Linked DNA regions of Mus musculus. The protein of the gene in region 1 interacts with the protein of each later gene in a pairwise test. Links are inferred from orthologs where the notes say so. Each region holds a gene or a part of one and is shown on either strand. Other genes may lie near its edges.

Evidence for each region. The genes of interacting proteins can lie anywhere in the genome.
Region 2: the proteins of Cep70 (region 1) and Hspd1 interact in binary tests that used the Homo sapiens proteins (3 or more experiments, as listed by UniProt). The two-hybrid records come from large-scale screens. The link is inferred for Mus musculus from reciprocal best matches to the Homo sapiens genes CEP70 and HSPD1.
Region 3: the proteins of Cep70 (region 1) and Zfp985 interact in binary tests that used the Homo sapiens proteins (3 or more experiments, as listed by UniProt). The two-hybrid records come from large-scale screens. The link is inferred for Mus musculus from reciprocal best matches to the Homo sapiens genes CEP70 and ZNF578.

What each region holds. Positions count from the first base shown.
Region 1 is NC_000075.6:99,297,175-99,302,256, reverse strand, and holds the end of Cep70 (centrosomal protein of 70 kDa), read right to left. Parts: intron 4,679-5,082; coding exon 4,564-4,678; exon of another isoform or gene 3,755-4,563; coding exon 3,675-3,754; intron 3,251-3,674; exon of another isoform or gene 2,530-3,250; coding exon 2,468-2,529; 3' UTR 1,853-2,467; downstream 1-1,852.
Region 2 is NC_000067.6:55,083,757-55,090,126, forward strand, and holds the start of Hspd1 (60 kDa heat shock protein, mitochondrial), read right to left. Parts: upstream 4,177-6,370; 5' UTR 4,023-4,176; intron 3,186-4,022; 5' UTR 3,184-3,185; coding exon 3,010-3,183; intron 1,030-3,009; coding exon 777-1,029; intron 52-776; coding exon 1-51. Other genes in the region: Hspe1 (10 kDa heat shock protein, mitochondrial), read left to right, coding at 4,654-4,656, 5,295-5,459. UniProt on the Homo sapiens protein: Chaperonin implicated in mitochondrial protein import and macromolecular assembly. Together with Hsp10, facilitates the correct folding of imported proteins.
Region 3 is NC_000070.6:147,550,881-147,557,452, forward strand, and holds the start of Zfp985 (uncharacterized protein LOC433804), read left to right. Parts: upstream 1-2,396; 5' UTR 2,397-2,546; intron 2,547-6,572. UniProt on the Homo sapiens protein: May be involved in transcriptional regulation.

The DNA.
Region 1 (5,082 bases):
ATAAGTCAGAAACTGCAGGACTTTTATAGTTTTAAACAACTAAAATTAGATAAAAGTAGACATATCACGTCTTCTATCAGCAAGAGTCTAAAAACTAGCTGGGCAGTGGTGGTGCACGCCTTTAATCCCAGCACTTGGGAGGCAGAGGCAGGCGGATTTCTGAGTTCGAGGCCAGCCTGGCCTACAAAGTGAGTTCCAGGACAGCCAGGGCTATACGGAGAAACCCTGTCTCGAAAAACAAAAACAAACAAACAAACAGAGTCTAAAAACGATTTCTATCAGTGTGACAGTCTTGAATCGCCCTTGAGGCATTTCTAAAACACTCTTGTCCTCTGGAAAAGGATTTGAAATCTGTCTTAAACTAAGAGTTAGCTATGAGATTAAAACTTACTGCTAAAATTTAGGTTAATAAAATCTCTAAGAGATCTTATTATGTGAGTACAGGTGCCTATAGAGGCCTGAGGTAGGAGGCACTGGATCTCCTTAGAGCTGGAGGTACAGGCAGTTGAGAGTCACCCAACATGGGAACTCACATAGACACTGAAGTAGGACGCTCTGCAAGAATGAACATTCTTAACTGCTGAGCCTTCTCTCTAACCCCTATTATAATCTTTTAGTTGCATTTCTTTTTTTCTCAAATATTGTTAAGGCCAGATGTGGGGGCATACGCCTCTAATATTATCACTTGAGGGTGGTGCAGAGTTCAAAGTTAGCTTTGGCAATAGTGAGTTCAAAAGCCAACCTGGAATATGGGACAACCCATCTTAAACACGTGCATGTACACACACACACACACACACACACACACACACACACACTGCACATTGTCAAGACTTCCAACCTTTGGGCCAGTGAGCTACTCAGTGGTTATGAGTGCCCAGTGCTCTTGCAGAGAACCAGAGTTCAGTTCAGTTCAGTACCCACATTGGGTCGGTCACAGCTGCAGGTAACTCCAGCTCCGGGAATCCAGCACCCTTTTCTGGACTCCATGGGTACCTGCAATCACACATGATGTGCATGCACAGACACACACACACACACTTAAAATTAATAAAATTAAACCATATCCAAAGTTTTAGAAAGACTTCCAATCCTCACAAAATTTTCTTGAGAGTAATTCAATCAATTCAGAATAAATAACCAAATGTTTTTTAAAACAACTTCATCAAAACATTCTACAGGTTATGGGTTAGTTATAGCAGTTTCTCAATCTATGGGTCACAACCCCTTTGGGGGCTTGAATGACCCTTTCACAGGGGTCACCTAAGATTATCAGAAACACAAATATTTACATTACAATTCATAAGAGTAGCAAGATTACAGTTGTGAAATAGCAATGAAAACAATTTCATGGTTGGGTTCACCACAGCATGAGGAAGTGAACTAAAGGGTCACAGCGTTAGGAAGGTCGAAAACCACTGGGTTACTATTTAGAAATTTAACTACAGGGTGACAAAGCAAAGGACTATAAAGTAAGAAGGAACCTAAGATATTATTTTATGTTGTCCAAGTCACAACTCCTAGGAGTCTGAATCCCTGTTCACTGGCACTCGCCATACCACTATGCTGGCCTCCTGGAAATACTTAAAATAATCTATATATCAACCAGTAAGAGTGGCATTTTAAAAAGAAGCATATGGGGTAGCCTAAAGTAGCTTGTAGTCATGGGTGTGATGCAGGACACTGCCCCCGCCATCAGACTGAATACTGAGACTAGAGATCCAGTAGACAGCAGTAAGAACAGGCCTCTTCAGTGACGTGCAGGGAGGATAACGCCCAAGGGAGTCAGCCTAGGGGGAGAAGACGACTCTTTATTGTTAGCCATACAAATAAGTCACTAGGGACACTTACGTTTGGAAACTCTTTACGAAAACTTTATTTGTGATCTTATTTCTTTATAAAAGTACATTACATAGTATTGCAAATAAAGACACAGAAACACTTCTACCTAATCATCTATTTCACTCCATGACTAACTTCCTATCTTAATACAAAGACAAAACCTTTCCTTCTTGCTTTGACAGGGCAATAGCTGTAAGTTTTCTTATAGAATATGCCCACTAATCCTTGCCTGGAGAACAGAGGCTTCCTATCCGTTGGGCTTAGAAAGCAACTGGCATTCTTTTTTCTCTGACCAAAGGGTCATTAAACCTTGAAGTTAACTGCGACTTTCTGTACTTTGCAATGTCTCTTTTGTTACCCACAATCTCTTCCTTACATTTTACAGCACTCAAGCATTGCTTAGGAAACGATTAAGGAATCTAAAGTTAACTCACTATTTTAATAACTTAACAGCTACATTTTATTAAATAATCAAAAATAAAAATTATATGGGTTGAGCAGACCCGGGGTGAGAGGATGAATTCTGAGAGCTGATTGTGTACAGCCTTGTCTCAGGATCAGACCTTTACAAATGCTTAGAATGTTACGAATGCAGTTTACACAGTGAAGTTGACCTGGTTTGTTTTCAGTATGAAAGGATCTTTAATTTCTTTACTGCAGGTACGATGGCATCCAGGTCATCAATCTCTGTAACAGGAAAAGGAGGAATTAGAAAGGGAGCGATGTTTCCAGTGCAAAGCTCAGAGATGTGAGACGCTCTCCGCAGAAGCCGCCTTCACACACAAGGGCAGCAGTAGCTGCGTGCTCAGTTGTGCACAGGGTTCTCTCCCAGGTTGGCTGCAGACTACCACTGCCTCCCACAGGGGATTCACAGGGAATCTGCAGCGCCCCCATTGACTGGCATTAATCTTACCAGACACAGGCTTAGTAACACATCCAGTTGGCTGTGTTTATGATGCCTTTGTCTCTCTTTAAATCTCTGTACAGCTACATGGGCAAGCCAACATGAGTCCCATTAGACATTGAAGACATGCATCTCTTTTGCAGGTCTCACAGACAGTGCTCCTTCCTGATTCTTCTAGTCTCAGAGTGTTCTCAGCCTTCTTTGGGGAGATTTGTCCAGTAAGAGGTGTGGGACACCTTAGAACAAGCCTCAGGGACACAGCCTATCCTGTATGAACTTCCGGACACAGCAGTTCCGGTTCTTTCGGAGATTGATTTTTCTCCTAAGGTATCAGACTTCAGTGACCCTGAGCCAGAATTCACTCTCTAAAGCTCTTGTTCTCAGAGGAAGCAAGTACTTTCCCTTAGCCAGACACCATCCCTTGGAAGGTTCCAAGCAGCAGGCTCTACATTTTTCTAGCTTATTTTGCTTGGTCATGTTTTAATAAACAATGATAGAACCCAGAGTCTCACAAAATAATGCCATTTCTCAAGATAGTCCCAGAGGGCTGAAGAGATGACTCAGCAGTTAGAAGCACCTGCTGCTCTTATAAGAGGACCTGGGGCCAGTTCCCAGCACCAACAGTAGCTAACTGACTATAACTCTAGTTTCAGAGTATCAGACCATCTCTTCTGGCCTCCATACATACATGCAGGCAAATATCTATACACATATAAAAATATTTAAAAAGAAAAGAAAAAGATAGTTTTTATTTCTTTATAGGCTGTTTTTCTATTCTGTAAATTAATCCTAACCAAGTCTTCCTGCAAAGTAGTTATTACTTTCCAAACACCTAGAGTAAGACATGAACCTAATTTCTAAGGAATACCCCTTCAAATCCACCAACACCTTCCAAGAAAGAGTCAGCCACCATCAACAGACATCTCACCTAAGATTTCAAGAAGATCATTAGCAAAAGCTTGAAACGCTGGGAAAAATTCCTCATGCTCTTCCAATTTCTTGATAATACTGTTTAAAACATACACAGTTTACAAAAAAGCACCACCTTTAGAACATCTGCTAGAAATAGGCTTCTTTACCCAATATTCAACTGAACAGAAGGTACCAGTGGTCAGTAAAACAATGGAAGGAGCGGAGAGGCCTGAGAGACGGTATGAAAAACTCAACTGCCAGATTATATAAGGGTTCTTACTGGAAAATATGCAGAATATATAGATGATACATGTGTGTGTGTTTATATATACATATATGTCTTATATGTTTATATATATGCATATATGTATATGCATATACATATATGCATATACATATATGCATATATATAAACACAATACATACACACACATACACACACAAACACATTCTCATAATGTACTTTTTAAAACATCAGGTTTTTACATTGGTGGTACATAGTCTTTTAAAAATCCTTAATATTTATCTTCTAAACAAAAAAATATGACTAGTAATTATTAGTTTTGGTAGTGTCCTAGAAATAAATTATATGTTATAATCCAACTCAAGAATTGGTTATAAAGATTTTAATTTCTCCATATACAACTTTCCCCAAGGGTGAGTTCTGCTAAACTTCCCAACATCCCTTTGTGAGCTTACAGCCCCAACAGTTTTTATCTTGAGTACATGTGACACATCTTTGGTGGCAGCACTCTGGAGGCAGAGGCAGGCAGCTCTTTTTTGGTTCAGGGCCACCCTGATCTACACAGAGTTCAAGGACCCCTGGGCCCTGTCACTGCCAACACGGACAGTCAGGGGCTGGGAGAGCTTGGAGCTTTTACTCTAGATGCATTTCTAACAAATACCTTTGTAGATCCTCAGGTCCTAACACTTGTTTAACCTGCTCACTCACATCCTTGTTAATTATCTCACACAGTTTACCAACTGTGCTGACCACCACACACAATGATGATGAACTGTCTGCAAAAGAGAAAAGAAAGCATAAGATATTTTTAAAGAATTTCCAAAATCATTACACTCACCCTGGTTCAGTTGTACTCACTTTATTTTTGTGGCAGAGGGATTAAGATTTCTATTAGTTTGCCCTCTACCACCCTTTGCCATTTCTTTAAGGCACACTATCTCCTTGAGCCTGGAGTCCACATTTTCTTGGCTAGGCTCAATAATAGTGTTTCCATTCTCCACAGAGCGAGGTAACAGACACTTGTGAGCTATCCAGCTTGGGATGCTACTTTTGGTACTCAGGACTGCAGAGAGTGTGTTCTTACCCGCTGAGCCATCTCCCAGCCCAGGGAGGGTTTGTTTTAAGCAGCGTCTCATGATTCCTAGGCTGGCCTACCAGTTATGTATCAAAAAATGATCCT
Region 2 (6,370 bases), on another chromosome or scaffold:
TAGACTGTTTCTTAAGTTCAGCAATTACAGCATCCACAGCCAACATCACACCTAGTTCAAGAATGTATGTTACTAACAATGCTTATCAAGGTCCCCAAGTATAAACTTACAGACTCTTTTAACATTTACATGTAACCTCGTGCCAGCACTCTCCTAACTGTACCAAACAACACAGTATGCACTCAATCAATCTCAGAATTTCATAATTAAGTTGAAAACCAACAACATTTTGAAAACTTGACCTAGATGTTGTGTGGTGGCTCACACCTGTAATCCCAGTACCTGACTAAGACTAAAGACTAAGACAGAATGGCTAAAAATTTGAGACCAGCATGTATTTATACAGGACACCATGCCAGGGAAGGCTAAGACCTACTCATTCTTGGCTGCAGAGATAGCTTAAAGGTTAAGAGTACAGGGTCTTGGTCTGGGTGTGGTAGTGCCCACCTTTAATCCTAGCACTCTGAAGGCAGAAGAAGCAGGCAGATCTCTGAGTTTGAAGCTAACTAGCCTGGTCTACAGAGAACCCTGAATTTTCACTTCCATTAATTGAGACAAGTTAAAAAACAAGATGTGGAAGATGGTCTAGGGGATAAAAGTACTTGACCCACAAGCCTGAATGAAGCCTCAGTTCCACCTTGGAAACCCACATAAGTAAGGAAAGGGCAATTCCACCAAGAATGAACACTCACAAACTCTACAACGAATGTAATAAAAAGGACAAAGATAAAGACAACAGAATTCTTTACAGGATAAGATCAATGATATACTCTTACCTCTCCGGATTTCCACTGGATTAGCCCCTTTGCTGATCTTCTCAAAGCCCTCCTTGGCAATAGATCGTGCCAGAACAGTGGCAGTGGTGGTGCCATCCCCAGCCTCTTCGTTTGTGTTATTGGCAACGTCCTGAACAAGTTTAGCTCCAATATTTTTGTATTTATCCTTTAAATCAATTGACTTTGCAACAGTGACCCCATCTTTTGTTACTTTGGGACTTCCCCAACTCTGTTCAATAATCACAGTTCTTCCCTACAGCGACAGGGAAAAAAAAAGCAACCCTCAATGATAACCCTCAAATTTGTCATTTTTAACCATCCTGCAACATGAATCTCAAAGCCACGTTAATCAACCATCTTAGGTCTATAAAAAATGAGCACTGATCATTTGCCAGGAGTCCAACATTGAATGAAGCACAACAGGAATTCCCTGGTACTAACAGATGCCACCCATAAAACAAGAAAGCACAGATGTTAATCGCCAAATCCCAGAACACTCTTCACATCATTTGCACTTGAGTTTTGGCTATGACCTAGGTTTATTTTGTTTTCTGAGACAGGACATTTCTGTGTAGCCTTTCCTGTCCTCAAACTCACAAAACACAAAGATCTGCTTGCCTCTGCCTCCTAAAGGCTAGCTGGAATTAGAGGCATGCACCACTACCACTACAGCCCTGCTTATGAACTATTTTTAAAACATGTTTTGCTTTAAAATTCATTCACTAAATATCAGCCAGTAAGATAATGTGCTTTTCTGGTTCGCTCAATAAAAAACTTCAAATATGACACCAACAAGTATTGGCAACTTTTGGATTTGAACCAAACTTCTATTGTCTTGAGCTATGTAAACAGTTCTTAAAGATGCAGGTTTTGGGGGGGGGGGTGCATGTGTGGAAGACTTTTGGGATAGCATTGGAAATGTAATTGAGGAAAATACGAGAAAAAAAAAAAAGATGCAGGTTTTTTTGTTGTTTTGTTTTTCAAGACAGGATTTCTATTGTTGCCATGCTTTCCTGAAACTTAGAGAACTACCAGCCTAAGCCTCCTGAGTGTTGGGATTATGCAGCTCTTTAGACCAGTTTAGCATTAATTTAAAATGACTGTGCACCACATCCAATGGTGTCCTCAAAGTACTATAGCTCCCTATTCAGCCACACAAATGTGTGATCACAACCTCTGATCTTAGCACTGCTCTGAGTTCAAGGCTGACTTGGCCAGCTATGGTTAGAGACCCTGTGAGTATAATACTGAATTCCTACACTTGAGATGTAAGTTGTTCAAGGACAGCCTTGCCACAAGGGAGTTAGAACTCAGACTAAGCTAGTGAGACTCTCTCAAAAGCAAAAACTGGACAATTTTTTTGCAATGTGAAAATTGTAGCAATCACGAGGTGTACAATGAAGGGACGAATGGAAGACCACAAAGGTTTTCTCCCAAGGGCAAGTGAAAACAGTCTGGTGATATGTGTTGCAGAAGCTGGTGGATGGATCGCTCTGAGTCTCAGGACAGTCTAGGCTACCGGAGAAATGCTGTCTTAAAAACAAAACCCCCAAACAACAAAGCCCATAAAGTAAAGTTTGTAAAGATGGCTCAGCGGGTAAGAGCACTGACTGCTCTTCCGAAGGTCCCAGCAACCTTCAAATCCCAGCAACCACATGGTGGCTCACAACCACCCGTAATGAGATCTGACACCCTCTTCTGGTGTGCCTGAAAACAGCTACAGTGTACTTACATATAATAAATAAATCTTGAAAAAAAAAGGTTTAGTTACTTAAAAAAACAAAACAAAAAACACAGAAACCAATGATTCTATGCTAGTGCATTTTGCCTTATGTGTTGGAGTATTTCAGCACAATGAGTGAACTCTCACATTACAGCTATATACTTTGAGGTATTATTAGACTTAAGTTGTACTTTCCCCTCTATACCCTCTAACTACTGGGACGAGATCCAAAATTTAATGCAAGCATGCACAAAATCATGACTATAGTTTGAAAATCCTCCTTGAGATATTACTACTCTATTACATCACAATGTACAAAAGTCCCCCAAATCGCCTGGAGCAGTAGTAAGGACACCATGGTGGTAGAATGACCAATAGACCTCCTGACTAAATAACACCTCTAGACCACTAAGTTGTACCACATGCAAATTAGATTTTTCACAAAACTTGATAACAAATTGCTGTCTTGCAGCTACTATATTCTTTAACACCATTTAAGTATACTGGTACCTTTGGCCCCATTGTAACAGCTACAGCATCTGCTAAAAGGTCTACACCTTGAAGCATTAAGGCTCGAGCGTCCGCACCAAATTTTACATCTTTGGCATAGGCCCGAGTGAGATGAGGAGCCAGTGCCCGGGACACTGGTCTCATCTGGCGAAGGACTGTGGGTAGTCGAAGCATTTCTGGGGAAGGAAAAAAGAAAAATCACTACAAACTTGTCCAACGGTGCTTCAAAACATGGGAGGCTAGATTGGAGCTGGGCTGTCCTCTGCTAACCACCATGCCTGGGCGCTGCAGATTCAGGGCATAATCTGCTAGCCAACTGATCATGGAGGCTGACCCCAAGCCTGACCAACAGCATAAGCACAAAGCACAGAAAACCACATCCCCATGGCCACCCACTCTGCCCTCTCAAGTTAATCTTTCACTGCCAAAGCGGCCTTGGGAGCAGATCCACTCCGAAAAGTGTCCAAAGGAAAAAAATCAAGTTGGTGCAAGCAAGGCAGGTTCTAAATGCAATTGCCTAGAGAACTACAGAAGTACTCATGACGGTGCAAAACCCTCTGAGTGTGTCGCCAGGTATCCACCCGAAGCTACGGTAACACAGCAGCTAGCAAGGCCGGAGGAAAAGACAGTAGGTCAGTCCAGCCTCGCGGCCCCACGTGTCTTCCCGACCAGGAGCCCCGAGCAAGGTCAAAGTGAACACCGGACCGCCGCGGCCACCGGGGACTAAAGGACCCCGACCACCCTCCCACAGAGTCCTGCAGTGCGCCAGGCGCAGGTGGCACCAGAGGGCCCAAGTTGCTTCCACCCTAGCCCGCCCTTGCTCCGGCGCTCGGCCTGGATCGCGTGGTCCCCGCCACACGTGATGAAACCAGCGTGGCCCCGCTGGGCCTGGACAAGTGAGCCGAGCCTGCGGCGTCGCTGCCAGACTTCTCCCCCTAGTCCTCCGTGCTCGGTCCGCGCTGCAAGCAGCCCCCCGCGAGCGCCGGGGCGCCCTGCACGCCGAGGCCGCGTACCTGCGGGGCGGCGGCAGGAGAGCACGAGGCGAGGCAGGCCGTCTGCGGCGAGTGAGGGACCCAGCTCTGGGCGCGCACCGCAATGAGCCCGAGTCCCCTCCCTCCCCGCCCCGCCCCGCGGCCCCGCGTGTGCGCGCGCGCGCCCCCCGCTCTCTCCCACGCCGGGGCCCTGCAATCTGCATGCGGCGCGCGCGGCCCCGCCCTCCGTACCAGAGCCGCCTCAGCTCTGCGGCCTCAGCCCTCTCCCGCCGCCCTACGCTGGTTCCTGGGCCACGGTCCGTTCTAGAACCTTCCGGAAGGCCCCGCGCGTCCCGTGGGTGAAAGGTCAAGTGGCGTCATTTCCGGGAGGGGGGCTCGTTCTTTCACCTCGGCGGCCGGCCTGGAAAAGCCTAGAAAGTGCTCCCCTTTTCTTCCGCCTCCGGCCGCCCGCGTCGGCCCCCTTGCGCGGAGCCCTCGCCACCAATCGGCGCGCGCGTCGGCGTGGCCGCCCCCTCTCACGCTCGGGGGGCTGAGTGCGCCTGCGCGCTGCGCGGCCTTTTCACGTGTCCCAGCCGGCCAGCAGGACTCTCCTTGCAGCAGCGGCCCGAGTTCAGAGTCCGGAGCTGCGGTGGTGGCGGCGAAGGCGAGAGTCATGGTGAGTGTCTCGTGGTTGGCAGGCCTGCGGGTCCAGTTCGGCCTGCGGCCCACGGCGAACCCTTGTGCGCTTTGGGACTAATAGGACAGGGGTCCGGGGTCTGGTCAGTGTCCGGTGTCCGCCCATGGCTCTGCAGAAGCGAGGCCATTTCTCTCTCCACCATGGCTTTGCCGCACGCACGTGTGCGACAAAGCGTCTGGGGCAGGGGGCGGGAACCCGATGCACACGCAGAAGCCCACCTGCCCTGGCAGGGCTTCAGTGGATGTGTCCTATGTTGGAGAAAGACTAAGATCCAGGCTCGAAAAGTGACGCCACTCCCCCGTTATTCGAATTTTTAAAAAAATTAAAGAAATGTTTGACCTTGGAATAGATCAAGGTGGCGATTGCTGATTAGTAATGAAGACCCCCCCCCACCACCACCACCACACACACACACACACCAGACAGGGAAATGAAACTCAGTTTGTCCTATATAGAGTGGAACACTGAGTATATTCTAAAAGTACACTTGAATTTTCTTGTCCTTTTTGGAACAGGTCAGTTTTGACCTGTTGAGAGTTAAGGCTTGCGGTGGTCTTAACTGTTCGTGTTCTGACACTTCGAACTTACACTCTGTTTGATCACATTTCTCTCCACAGGCTGGACAAGCTTTTAGGAAGTTTCTTCCGCTCTTTGACAGAGTATTGGTTGAAAGGAGTGCTGCCGAAACTGTAACCAAAGGTGGCATTATGCTTCCAGAAAAGTCTCAAGGAAAAGTGTTGCAAGCAACGGTCGTGGCTGTGGGGTCAGGAGGGAAAGGAAAGGTAAACTGGTGCCCCTGGAGTGGTACTGAATTCCAGTGTGATGTGGAAGGAGGGGAATTCCTTTGGTAATTAAAAAAATGAATTACAATGGCATTTTTGGGGGGAAGAATTTCAAGTCAAATTTCAATTCACAAAGAACCTCCCATTCAGGAAAATGACTGTTTTATATTGTTTTAGAATTATTTTATGTTTCTGAAGAAAGGCAAAAGGTATTTGTGTGACGTGTTTGCACATGTCTATATGCTGTGTAGCAGGGGCATCTCCACCTTACTCCTTTGGGGTAAAGTGTTGACTAGTCTGGTTTCTGGGCCTCAACATGTTGCGGGTTACAGCCTTTTTACTCTAGTTTTAGGATCCTGGTTTGGGCTCCCCTACTTTCATAGCAAGTCTACTTACCTGTTTACCCACTGAGCTAACTCTGCAGTGCCCCAAGCTCTAGAGGCTGAAAAGTGCCTGCCTTGATGGTGGCTCATGCCTGTGGCCCAGGTTCTTTGGAGCCTAAGGCAGGTGGACTGTAGAATCTTTTTAGGCCAGCAGGAGGTACAGGATGAGACCATGTCCCAAAAAAGTAAAACAAAATCTTACAATATGAAATAACCTCTGTAGCTATTTTATATCCTGTTCTTCAAATTTTAAATAGACAAAAAGATCGCGCAAGTAGATAAACCCCCACGGCCATTTCAGAGCTGAAGGAGGTATTTATTAATAAGGCACAGAACTAATTCTAAGCACAGGTTGGGAGAAGGGTATAGTGCTGAGGTAGAAGGATCCGGAATTGATGGCCTGTCAATTTTGATATAGACCCTGTCTCCCTCTCCCTTCCCCAAAAAGAAAGGGTGAAGTGGCAGGGGTGGGGGAGCCCAGACACTGAAATAGTTTTAATCTTACACCATTGAGTTTTAGTTGGCATG
Region 3 (6,572 bases), on another chromosome or scaffold:
GGCTGGCCTCGAACTCAGAAATCCACCTGTCTCTGCCTCCCGAGTGCTGGGATTAAAGGCGTGCGCTACCACGCCCGGCCTGCATTTTTTTTCAAAGAACAATGTAAAAACAAACATTATTTTCCTTGTATTTCTCTTGTTATTAACTTTTAAAACCTAATGTGATGCATTGGTGCAAAGATAATTTATTGATACAATGGTAATTTATGTACTTTTTCAAGGCATGTCCAGAAACTGCCTGAGTGTCATTTGCTGAAATCATGAAATGCAGAGGCTTAGCGCAACCTTCCAAAATGAATATACCATTATGTGTACTGATTGATAAAAGGTGATGTCTGTAATCACTTGGAGCCAGTTACCTCTTCCTTTTTAAAACTCTGTTAAAGATTTCTGTATACTATACCATTCCTTCCCCATGTAATGGGGTTTTCTTGATGTTCCTGAAAATATTGCAAAGGTCTTTCTTAAGACCAGCAATGGAGATAAAAAATGTAAACAGACATACATACAGAGTACACAGATAGACACAAACACGGAGACAGAAGGCAGACACACAGGAAGAAAAAGATACACAAGCAGTATTCCACAAGTTTCAGATTTAAATTAACTGAATAGACACACAGGATGGAAGGCTCAGATAAGAGGAAGTAGCAAATTCAACTTTGGAGTCACAGTTAGTTAAATTACCTCTGAGGGAAAGGCTATTGATTCTTTCCTTAACTCAGATGCATTATTAATCACCAGTGTGTTTAATCTGTTCACATATGCAGAATCAATTAACTTGTGACATAATTTCTCTCTCTCTCTCTCTCTCTCTCTCTCTTTTTTTTTTTTTGCATAAGCACAATATGGGAAAATTTAAAACTCACCACAATGGGTAACAAGTAGCCCTGCATTCTGAAAGGTGTCCATGGGCTCAGAACCCTGTTCTTTAAAGAAAGACCATCAGGTCTGGGCTTGTGCTTCTGAGCTCTCACTTCCATGCTAGCCTAGAATCCATTTTAACCTAACATGCATCACAACAGGTTTTGAACCTCAGAGGTCACAAGAGAATCCTGGAACTCATTACTTTCATGAAAAGAGTTGACTTCCAGCCATATTCTCTAAGGGGAATTGGGTAATTCTCGAGTCTGCTTTCCCCAGCCTATGAAGATATGCATGGGTGTACATAGAGTATTATAGAGCACAATCAGGGAATCTTCTATGAGCAAATGGCTAAACAGTGCAGTATGTATTGTAGGTCTCTTTCTATTTCCTTCCTTCCTTCCTTCCTTCCTTTCTTCCTTCCTTCCTTCCTTCCTTCCTTCCTTCCTTCCTTCCTTCTTCTCTTCCTTCCTTCTTTCATTTCTTTGTTCTTTCTTTTGACAAAAATCTAGACACTTTTATAAGGGATTTTTCTTATTGCCTCACACTTCAAGCAGTAAATATTTGCCTAAACCTAACATCATTTTAATTCATCATTTTCTTTGACTAAGGTATCCAGCTCCTCTACCTTTTGTCCAAGTCTAATAATCTGTCTCCCACACGTTGTCTATGAGTTATTATTATTTGCCTTACTGCATATTCTTTTCAGGCTCTTTTCCTTGTTTATTTCTAAGCACATATTGAACTCAATTTTCATATCCTATGTTGTCCTCCTTTCCTTCAGGCATTTGCTATTATTCTCTTGCACACGAATCATTTTGTTCCTGTCCTCTTTCAGTTGATATATGTGGCTTACACACTTTGATCTATTTGATCATGACTCTGGGTTTTCAATTCTTTACCTAGGATATCATGTAAATTGCTCTCTTTCTAAGATACATGCACAGTTGATAGTTTGAGCCAAAGACATTTTGTCTTAGTTTTACTTTGTTTTGGGTATTGAGCATCAGAATTCAGAGGGACTGCTTAATTGTGTGCATTTTTAGACTAGACTCACAATGTGAGAAGTTAGGCAGGATCCGTTGTATCTGAAGGGTTCAGAACCCAGGTGAAGTGTCCTACTACATTCAGTTCTGGTCTAGTCTGGCAGCAACCTTTTGAGAAGCTGAGTAGAGTAGGTGCTGAGAAGTTGTGTTTCCACAACAGAGTTGGAGGAGTGGTTCCTGATGGGGAGGGTGGGCCTCCTGCATGATTAGATAAGTTTAAGAAAAAGACAAAATAAAACGAAGAATCAATCAATCAAAAAATCAATCAATGAATTAAGTAAGTAAGTAAGCAAGCAAGCAAGCAAGTAAGCAAGCAATAATCCAAATCAACAAAAATTGCTCTGAAGAACTGGGAAGCTAATTAATTAAGAAGTCCTGAAGGAGGTACGCTTAGAAGAATGGCAGGAAGCTGCTGAGTATTGGGCGGGTCCAGAAGGAGTGGCTCTGAGGAACCAGGAGGAAGTGACAGGAAGTTCCGCGATTCCAGCCTTCTCCATGTATCTTGGCTGCCTCGTGGTCAGGAAGTCATGGAGGGAGACTAGTGCCTAGTGTTTGCAGAACCTGAAAACTTCCTTAAGCTGCAGTTGCTGTGCTGGCTTCCTAGGACATTCAGCAGCTGGTCCTGTCACCTGCCAGGTCAGAGGAGCTCTTGGGTTGGGAAATGGGTAGGATAGGGCAGGCATGTGGAGCAGGGGTGCATTTTCTGTCGCCACTCTTACAATTCTGTTGTGGATATCTTACCATTATCAGGAAGTTTGAGATCCTGTAAATTGAGTTTATGGTGATGTTTTAATTGATTTTATGGTTGCCAGAATATTTTTCTAAAACAACCCTGTAGATCCTTGGCCCTCTCTGGAGTTTGTATACTGGGAGGGTTGTCTTTGCTAAGGCCTTAATAAAGCTCCTCGATTTCAGATTCATTCATGCTTTCTTAACTCCCCTGTTCCTCCATTTGCCATTTCATTTCCCTTTCTCCTGCAAACTGAGTAGGCATCCCGAGAGAGCTTTGTAGATATTTGTCATATGGGGACCAGTGCAGATTTGATAGAATTAGAAAATATTCCTTATAAAGCACCATCATATGGCTGTAAATATTAACATTAACCAAGCAAAGTTATATTCTCCATTAGCTGAACACAGAGGTATATGTATTCTTTGATGTAAATACATCTTTGAGAAATGTGTCTACATATGCTTTGTTATTAATGTCACACCTTAGGTTTGAATAAAACATGAAGACAGGATTGCAGCAAGGTACTTGCGAGGAGAAATTTCCTTAAGGAAATGAGGACAACATAGGAAATTTCCTTAAGGAAATGAGGACAATCATATGAAAATTGAATTTAATAGGTGGTTATAAATACAATACAAAAAAAAAGAAAGAAAAGAAAAGAAGAAAAAAGACCCTGAAAAGAAAATGCAGTAAGGTGAATAATAATCATTCATAGAGAATGTGTGTGAGACAGATTATCAGACTTGAAGATATATAGTAGGTTCTGTTAACCCTGAGTGTCACCAGAGAAAAACCAATTCCACCATGTGGGCCAGCTTTATCAAATAATTCATCCTGACCAAGTGATAGATTTTGGTCACATGCTACAGGCATTTTTTAGGCCATTGTAGTTTCCTATGAGGCTTTATTATTTTCCTAAGACGTGCAACCTGCAGCACTTCAAGAAGATACCTGGTTCTTGTGCTGATGGTGAGGTTAATTTTTGTCATTTCAGTCTGAGGGAGAAAACATTCAGAGATATCTGGTTGGGTCCAGACTGAAAAGGACCATCGTGTGGGGGAGGGGAATTGAGGATGTGATGGAGGATAGAGGGGCAGGTCAAGAGATAACCAGCAGCCAAGAAAGCACCTATCCAACTATGAGTTCATTGATATGTTAACAGGTACCCCAGGTAGCCATTCTTCCTGAATTTCTTTGAATTTTTCCAAAGTTCAGCCCAGCATGCTGTGCAGTGATGCTTTCAGGAATAGATATTTTAATAAGTGGAAAATTTACTATGGATTTTTTTGTGTTTTTTTTGTTTTTTGTTTTTTGATTTTTTTCGAGACAGGGTTTCTCTGTGTAGCCCTGGCTGTCCTGGAACTCATTTTGTAGACCAAGCTGGCCTCGGATTCAGAAATCTGCCTGCCTCTGCCTCCCAAGTGCTGGGATTAAAGGAGTGTGCCACCACTGCCCATCTTTTACTATGGATTAAGACAAAATTAGACAGCATCTTTTGAATAATTTTGAACTCTTACTTACTGGATTACTGTCTGGATTCTGGATCAGAATAATTTTCTTCCAGTCTTCCCTCCTCCTCTTCTGTGTTGCTTGGAAAAAGACTGTATGTGTGTTAACTGTGTGACTGACTCTCACATCTTTAGGGTAAATGAAATACTCAGAGAAAAGTAGGTATTCTCTTGATATCTTCTCCTCATGTTTATCCTTTTCTCGGGTATTGACATCTTTCATTTTTGTTCCATGAACAGTTCCATGTTCATTCTAAACAATATTTACCCATTTTCAGGTCTCCATATGCTCAGTCAAATCTCCATAACTGTAAATCAACACTAAGAGCACTAGGAGGTTAAAGGTCAAGGAGACTCTCACAAAGGATCCAGATATGTTAGAGGTATTGAACAATGGGTGGAGTTGGGCTCACCTGTTAGTAGAAAGAGGACATGAATTTGATTTTGCCAGATTCTATTTCCTTAATGAATCTGGAAAAGAATAATATTAGATGTGATGATATGGATTTACCATGGAAGGCAGTGCTTTCAGCTGTCACTTGATGTCAATATTTAATTAATTTTGATCCTGGGAAATTGCTGCTGCCCATTGAAATCAAAGTTTCTTTTATCCAAATTGAAAGCAGCATCAGGCTATGGGTGTGACAAGGGCAATTTATACATAAAGCAGATGTCAGCAGTAGATTCCCTCCTAGGGCCTGTGACCTTCCTTACTGGATTTTTAGGCAGATTTTCACTGTAATCTATGGATTTTTTTTCCTGTGGAGCTTGAAACAGAAAACCTTCTGTTACCCACAGATATTCTCGCCAGTATCATAAAAATTTCCATGTCTTTTCTGGCAGATTCAGATTGCCGCAAGCGGGTTGCAAACCTGAGTATAGACATTGATAACTCTGCTTCCTGCCCCAATTTGCCTAGCAGTTTTTTTCACTATGGAAATTCCCACCAGGGTGTCTAAGATGTCTGTTGAGAGTGAATGGTCTGATATTTGGTGGTTTTCTCCAGAAGGTCTACTTGCTTTCTGAATCACCTATTCTATACACTCTAAATAATTTCCTGTCCTTGACCTGTGTTCTTAATTGATGTTCAGTATTGCATTAATCCCCATTAGAGTGGAATAATTATTTTTGACCTTCTCTGTACTGGTTGCATTAGTTTTGAGTCTGTTTGCCTTATTTCTGAGGTATGTTTCTTCCCTTCTATTCTTGAGAGCTTTCATACTGAGCAGTGTCTACATTTTACCACAGGGCTGTATAAGTAAGTTTCATTCTCCTATTGTCAGTGTAATTTGGGAGGATTCCTGCCTACATCTTTTAACCTAGACCTAGTCATGTAAGCTTCTACTCTCCATACAGTATTATCTAAGGCCTGATGTGTTTTCAGCCTCTGAACTTTGCTGCTGAATAAGCCCCTCCTCCCCCCACCTTCTTATTCCTTCTCAATGCTTACCTGGCTGATTCAATTCAATTTTTCCAGCTCAAACTCTTCTCTGAGCTGAGTTCTTCTCTCAGACACTGAATTGTTCCACTTGGCCTTAAATTTACTGTAGAAGTCTTTTCTCATCTTCTGGCTCCTTCTCTTTCTCCTGCTCATTCTGTCTTTACCTGTTCCTAGCATGTTCTCTCTTCAGTCTGATTCTGTAAAACTCTCAGAACCCAGATGCAGTGTCCTAGTACATCCAGCTCTGGTCTAGTCTGGCAGCAACATTGTGGGGAAGCTGTGCAGAGTAGGTCCAGAGAAGTTGTGTGAAAGGCAGCCTGCAACAGAGTTGGACGAGTGGTTCCTGCTGGGGAGGGTGGGCTTCATGCATGATTAGTTAAGTTTAAGAAAAAGACAAAATAAAAACGAAGAATCAACCAATCAATCAATGAATTCAGTAAGCAAGCAAGCAAAAATCCAAAACAATAAAAATTGCTGTGAAGAATTGGGAAGCTAATTAATTAAAAGGTCCTAAAGTAGATGGTCTTAGAAGAATTGCAGGAAGCTGCTCAATATTGGGCAGGTTCAGAAGGAGGGGCTCTGAGGAACCAGGCAGAAATGACAGGATGTTTCTCCTTTTCATCATTCTCCTTGTACCTTGGCTGCCTCGTGGTCAGGAAGTTCTGGAGGAAGACTAGTGTCTAGTATTTGCAGAACCTGAAAACTTCCTTGCTGGCCTCCTAGGACATTGAGCAGCTGGTCCTGTAACCTTCCAGGTCAGAGGAGCTGTTGGGCTGGGAAATGGGCAGGAGCAGGGCAGGCTTGTGGAGCAGGGGTGCATTTTCTGTAGCTACTCTCACAATTCTGTTGTGGATATCTTACCATTGTCAGGAAGTTTGAGATCCTGTGACTTGGGTTCATGGTGATGTTTTAATCAATTTTATGGTTGCCAGAATATTTTTCTAAAGTATCCTTGTAGATCCTTGGCTGAATCTGGAATT